Drosophila melanogaster: one gene and its partner. The protein of the gene in region 1 interacts with the protein of each later gene in a pairwise test. Each region holds a gene or a part of one and is shown on either strand. Other genes may lie near its edges.

What was found.
Region 2: the proteins of CG13891 (region 1) and Acam interact in a two-hybrid assay, tested with the Drosophila melanogaster proteins (2 studies listed by BioGRID).

The regions. Positions count from the first base shown.
Region 1 is NT_037436.4:432,603-436,062, forward strand, and holds CG13891 (uncharacterized protein), read right to left. Parts: upstream 1,305-3,460; 5' UTR 1,105-1,304; coding exon 628-1,104; 3' UTR 544-627; downstream 1-543. Other genes in the region: klar (klarsicht), read right to left, coding at 2,516-3,460.
Region 2 is NT_033777.3:25,810,169-25,813,958, forward strand, and holds Acam (androcam), read left to right. Parts: upstream 1-1,742; 5' UTR 1,743-1,820; coding exon of another isoform or gene 1,821-2,315; 5' UTR 2,316-2,475; coding exon 2,476-2,922; 3' UTR 2,923-2,966; downstream 2,967-3,790. Other genes in the region: CG5024 (uncharacterized protein), read left to right, coding at 1,037-1,534; CG17770 (uncharacterized protein), read left to right, coding at 1,821-2,315. UniProt on the Drosophila melanogaster protein: May be involved in calcium-mediated signal transduction.

The DNA of each region.
Region 1 (3,460 bases):
CTCGGTCTAGACTTCATTAACTACCTCGTAAATTTATTGATTACTTCTTTTTACGGCGTTCTTAAAGGTTTAACAGTGGTTCGTGTCTATGCTATGCACTTAACAGTAGACTGAGATAGCTATAAAACTGAATGCACAGAAAAGGGATGCATAGATATGGCTGCTTGTGTGTTAGACAGAGAAATCCACGTCTCATGGAAGAGGGGAAGTTTGAATTTATGTACTTAACTCAATTTTCATTGGTTGTTGGCTTTACATAAGCAAAACTTTCTGAAGGAAGCCCTGCTTTGGGTTTCACCTTTGTCGCCGTGCGGCATATATGTAGGTGGTGTTCCCTCGTTCAGGTCAGCTTTGCAGTGCGTTTCATTTGGCGCAGATCCATCAACGTCAACGGACGTCCCACAAATTGAGGATGTTCGATGGAAGGCAAACAGGATATCGAGCTTAGACAAGAGTAGGCAAGAAACTGGTTTAAAGAAACCTGGCTACGGGTCTGAGATACGCCCTTTAAACGCTGTAATGATTTGGCATTACGTTTCTGTTAAAATGGTCAGATTTACATTTTCTTTATTGCTCACAAGTGCTAAACGATTAGGATGGTATAAAAAGAATCACCGGATTTCATGATTACGGCGACATGGGCTCGGGTGATGGATCGGATTCCACCTTAGCCGTGGGGTTCTCTTCTCTAATAGGCTCCTTCAGTTTGGACGACGTTATGCTTATTTCACTGGGCGACCAGGCTTGAATGGAGGCCATCACTGTGTTTGACACAAAAATCGGTTGGTAGATGTAGAGCAGAATGTCTCCGCTAACCCGAATGCGGTCTGGCTCCATTGATCCGACCTCCTGGCACTCGATCTCCACGGGCTTGGCCTGCTGCGAGAAGCGGTGCCGGTAGAAGCTGGACTCGCGTCTCTCGGCCGGAATCATCGACTGTGTCCGCGACCTTGTGTCCCCTATCGGCTGTTGGGAATCAACCGCCTGCATGCTTATCGTGGGCGAAAAGATATTGCTCTTGCGCTTCTCGCGCACCAGCTCCCGCCAGTCCAGAGCCACCTGCTTCACATAGGCGTAGTTGCTTTCGTCCACCAGAGCCGCCATGACGAAGCTGTTTATTTTAGGTAGTGTTAGGTCCCTTCAGCGGCCTCCAGGTGGTCCCGATAATGCCCCTATTCGTCGCCGTTGCCCTCCGGTTTCTAGATCATTATTATATACACACTTGATTTTGTAGCAAGTTCCCTAGACCATTTTAGGCAGATAATTTTGGGGAGAATGAAGTAAATTAACTGCAAACTAAGTTACATATATCAAGTCCAGGTTGCTATGTCTATAAAAGATCTTTAGCACCCGGAGGCACTTATAAGCGCTTTGACCATACATCTTTAGTGAGCTCAAAAGCTTCCAGCCTATTTTCAGCCTACATTTATCCTAGAAGCAAGCTACGAAATGTTGAATTAAAGCCAGAAATCGATTTTTTCTTTTTAATACTTTTTCTTTAATGTTTTTTTGTGTATAAATGATATTTTCTGTTTTGTATTTTTAATGCCAAGTGAAAGTTTTGAAAACGCACAAAGTATAGTATAAACCTTATAAGTATATTACAATGATCATCTGCCAGGAGTGAGTAAACCATAAACTAAGTCTAGGAATTCCAAACACGAACCTAAGAGATATTTTCGTTTTTTTTTTTTTTGTTGAATTTTTGTTTTCTTGCAAAATAAGTGTAAGGTTTATCCTATTAATATAATAGACATAAAACGTATGATGTGTGTTGGCTGAAGATTCGTTGTCTCCGCACTGATTGTGTATAGTTGCGTTGCGTATAAAAATATAAACTCTGATTCTTCATCGCTGTTCTGGTGAGCTCCATTGCTAGCTCCTTAGTGCTGTTGGCTTTTTAGCTTCTGTTTGCTTCGGTGCCTTGGATTCATACTCTCGTTTGGACTCCTCGACGGATCCTTTGTCATCTGCTGGTAGCTCCTCGTTCACAGTTCGCATTTGTAGGCACTTTAGTGTTTTTCAAACAAAAAAGTATACAAAAACGCCACTCAATTGATCATTGTGTTTGTATCATATTTACTGGGTAAGAATCTGGGGGACGATCCGCCCCTTTGTTCCTTTATGCGGCAGTTTACACGTGGCTGGGCATCGTCTGCTCCTCGCCTAAGTACATATTCAGCGTTCAATCGAACAGCAACCTAAACTCGTAGGAAATTAACCGAAATAACAAATACATCCTTACTATAAATTGCGTTCCTTTCGCGCTCGCTACCTAAATTAGACATATAAAATTGGGCTGCCTCTGGGTGTCGCACCTTTCGGAGGAGAGCGCTCTGTTCGGGATTGTAAAACCTCGAGCGCGGAAAACGCGCGCCACAGGCGAGCTCTTAGTGGCTCTGCCTAAGTGGCTGGTTGCGCTGGTTAACTCTAGTTACAGCTGTTAAATGCCTTAACATAACGTAACGGTAACCTACAACGATTAGCGGCCTGCTTAATTAGTCGCGCTCTGTCCTCAGATCGGAGGTGGTCCACGGATATAGCGGAGCTGCGGCGTGAAGCTCATGGACAGGTTGTTCAGATTGTCGCAGCAGTTGGGTTGCATCAGGCAGGCAGCGCAGAAGATTGTGAACAGGGCCACCTGCATAGGCACTGCCGCCCTCGCGATGCGCCACGCCCACCCTCGCTTAGAGGTCTGTGCAGGATCCGCTCCCTCTCCATCTTCCTCGGAGCTTTCCAGGTTGAAGAGCAACGAGGGATCGTCAGAGGGGTCGTCCCCACCATCGCCACTTGTCAAGGTCTTGAGTTGCTTCAGGACCATCTTCTGCTGTTCTGGGCTGAGACTTGGCTCCTCTACTTGCTGATCCTCTCCAGCCTTCTTGGCCTGACGCGCCTTTCGAGCTCCTTTACCACGTCTGCCAGGCGACTGGGGTTCTGCCTTGCCCTTTGCGGCCTGCTTCTTAATGTGTCCATTGGCCTTCGGTGACACCTGCTGGGTCTGATTTTGCTGGATCTGCTGCTTCTGCTGGTGGCTAGCTGCAGTGCGAACAATTAAGTCTCTACAGGTGTTCTGCAGGTGCTTCAGGTCGGCCTCGGCACTTTCCATTCGGGCAGCAATAGAACGCATGGCTTCGCTTCCCGGCGCCAGAGCTAGTTCCAACTGCTTTGCTAGGCGTCGAAGAACTCCCAGTCGTCGCTCCCTCTCGGACAGGCCACCATCAGAAGTAGCTCCTCCATCAGAGATGCCGGAATCTGATAGCGAGCCATTTGAGGCTGTAAACTTCGTAATGTGGTAGATGTGGTTGGGGTCCAGGTGCTGCTGGACGGCCAAAAGTTGCTCCTGGCTTACGTGAACCTTTTCGGACAGCAGCTTGGCCACCAGTTTTACATTCTGGGCCAGCTCGACTGGTGTGGCTTGTCCCTTGTCCAGAGCTCCTTCAAGACCCTTCAGAGTGCCCCT
Region 2 (3,790 bases), on another chromosome or scaffold:
GGGAGATCTACAAATCTGCCAATTATTTTAAGCAAATTGTTTTTACTCTCCTTTAACGCAAACAACTTTTATTTATTTAGTTAGTAGCCCTAATTAATATATTACCTGCTAAGTAATACTTGGAACTATTGTTTTCCATACAAATATATAATCCCGCATCTCTGGCCCGAAAAGTCCTCTCTAATCTATGCAGAGAAATGCTTGACAGTGCCTTGTTGTGTGGCTCAACTTTGGCCCCAATCCTAAATCCTTTGTGTCCTTCGTGGCCAGGATTTGCTTCTCATTACCAAGAAGCCCCCATTGTTCGCTCCACTGGGAGGAGCACGTGTGAGAAAGGTTGATGGCCAGGGACATGGGTTTGTGCAGTTTGGTTCTCGCCTTCTCCGCTCCCAAATTATGCAAATTGCTCGAAATTTTGCATTGGATAATTTCCCTATTTGCCCGTAATGCTCAATAAAAAAAAAAAAAATACAAACACAAAAAACATTTTATGACCCAAGAGACCAACGATGGCAGCAAATGGCTGAGCAGAAAAAATACTGAACAGTTGTATAAATGCACCAACAAAAATAAAAATAATATAAAAACAGAACAAACTGCGACGCATTTAATTAAAAATGTAATTACCCATGCTTTTCAACAGCCACATTGCTCGAAGCGGTAGCCAGAGGCTATGAAAACATTATTCGGAAAATTGTTGCAAATTTAATTGTTAAATCCTGCTATATTTTACTGCGGTGTTACTGCATCACGGAGCAGTTGTAGTTTTTTCCATTTCACAAATTTATCTTACTGAAAATGAGTTTAAGAACCATGTCAGAAAAGAGCGTGGGGCAACTAACAAAAAAAAAATTTTAAAAAACTAACTAGTAATCTTTTGTTGTCAATGCCTTGAATTTTCCACAATTTCAGTCTAAATGGAAAACTGTCAATGAAAAGACAATATTTAAACACAACTATTTTCGAAAAACTAAATTTTAAAATTCATCTTTTCGGGAAATCCAAATTTTAGCCCAAGGTATACTTACAATTTGCCATGGATGACTTTGATTTCAGTAGTCCACCTCCGGAGGTACGAACAGTTCATACCCACACGCTGAATGATGAACAGCTCAAGGATTGTGAGGCGGCCTTCGCCCTCTTCGACGACGATAATGCCAAGGTCATTCCGATCAAGTTATTGAGAGATTGCCTGCGAGCCGTGGCCCACAACCCGCCGGAAAACGAGATACAGGATTATATAACCGAAATTGATACGGATGGATCCGGCGAGCTTTATCTCAGTGATTTCCTATACATCATGTCGAAACGGTACGAGAATTTGACCGTCGAAGATGAAGTTATCCTCGCTTTCAAAGTCTTCGACAAAGATGGATCTGGCTTTATACACGAGAATGAGTTCCGTCAGATAATGACTGAATATGGCGATGAAATGGAAGAGGACGAGATCGAGGAAATGATACGTGATGCCGACGCCAACACGGAACTGAAAATCGACTACGTTCGCTTTGTGACCATGATGATGGAGACGTAACACTCTCTTTGAAAAATAAAAAACATAACCGATTGTAGATCTAATCAATAAATTTCAAAAGCATGGCCAATGGAATCGAAGATCTTGAAATATCGGATACCACCAGTTTGGACTATTCTTTAAAAAAAAAAAAAAGCCAATATACAATAGATAAAATGATAACAAGAGTAGGCTTTTCTTGTTATTAAATTATAAATATGAAGTTGTGAACTAAAGTTTGTCGAAAATTTGTAGTGAGTGTTCAGTGACCCCAAAATTTTCCCACCCCCAACCCCTTCCTTTGGCCATGGATTTCGAATTCCTTACTCCGCCGCCAGAGGAACGGACCATTCGCACCCACAATCTGACCGAAGAACAGGTCAAGGATTTGGAGATTGCCTTTTCCCTGTTTGACGACCAAGACACTAAGGTTATTCCTATAACAAATCTCAGGCAACTAATGCTGTCTGTGGCCCACTATCCCAGTGATATGGAATTGCAGGAAATTCAGGCCGAGATCGATGCTGATGGATCCGGTGAGTTATATCTCAGCGATTTCCTTCACATCATGTCTCAGAGGTACGCAAACATGTCTACCGAGGATGAAATTATAGCTGCATTCAGAGTCTTTGACAAAGAAGGAACCGGCTTAATATCTGAATCGGAATTTCGTCACATAATGCAGAACATGGGGGAGCAATTGACGGATGATGAGGTGGAGGAGATCATCCGTGATGCAAATTCTGATTTGGAAGGCAATATAGACTATGTGCGATTTGTCAGAATGATGTCCACTACATAAGGAAAAAGCAGGCTTTAGGGGTTGGGAACCCGACCTGTCAGTATCAGTATCATCAAAACAGTTTCGGCTCATTCCCTTTCGTAAATTCCAACAGTCTATAGCTCTGCAAGCATTTAAAAATATCTCGATAAATACCGAAAATCTTTGAAAATTTATCAAGATGTCCGAACTAACGGAGGAGCAGATTGCCGAGTTCAAGGATGCCTTTGTCCAGTTCGACAAGGAGGGAACCGGCAAGATCGCCACCCGTGAGCTGGGCACATTGATGCGCACCTTGGGCCAGAATCCAACGGAGGCCGAGTTGCAAGATTTGATAGCTGAGGCCGAGAACAACAACAATGGCCAACTGAACTTCACTGAGTTCTGCGGTATAATGGCCAAGCAAATGCGGGAAACTGACACTGAGGAGGAAATGCGTGAGGCATTCAAGATTTTTGATCGTGATGGCGATGGCTTTATATCACCAGCTGAGCTTCGCTTTGTGATGATCAATCTGGGCGAAAAGGTCACCGACGAGGAGATCGATGAGATGATTCGCGAGGCTGATTTTGATGGGGATGGCATGATCAACTACGAGGAATTCGTATGGATGATAAGCCAGAAGTAGTACAGCTACTTTAAATGAAATAAAAATATTTGGGGTCACTGCATAAAAAAAATCGTGTATTTCTCTTCAAAAAATACAATTTACACTTCTCTGCGGTCTAACTATTTTCGAACACTTTTTAATACGCCCCCAATTATTTCAATTATATTTTTGCGGTGTGCTAGTTTTTCCTTTGCCTAATTCGGAGACCGAGAATTTTTCAAGCATGTCCTGCTCTTAAAAATGTTTGATGAAGGCACCCCATTTCGGTAATTGTGGTTGGTTTAAGGAATTTTCGCCTCGCCTTCTTCAGGTGAAAACTTTCAGCATGAAACACTCGACGTGGTTTTAGTCCGCCTTTTCGTTTCCCTGGCAAGTGGTTTTTGCTTCCACATGCGGCACCTTTGTGGCCAGACGAACAATTTTCCTGTTGCTTAAATTCAATTTGCTTATGCATTAAAATTAAATTTTACTGTGGCCTCAGCGGGCCCGGCTCGTACTCCTTGCTGGAAGCAACCTCTTGGGGTCTTTGGGGCTTGTGTCTGACTTTATAAATATTTCGTGTGTGTTGTGTACGCGCATGTATGAATTTTCAATTTTTTGAACAAGTTTCGGTTTCAGTTCAGACATGTCAAAATGTCAACTTGCTTAATTGAGAGTCCGCAAAACATCGAGCATCGCATCGCATTGCATCGCATTGCATCGAATCGAATCGAATCGAGACCTTAACTTCAATGTGCATTCGCATGGAATAAGAACAAAAGCCCAAGCAGATTCCAATTTCAGATCTGACATCAATAAGCACTTACAGTGGCATAAATATTATATATACTCGAGAGCTGGCAAATATATATGTCTATATGCGGTTCAAACACCAGAACGACATCGG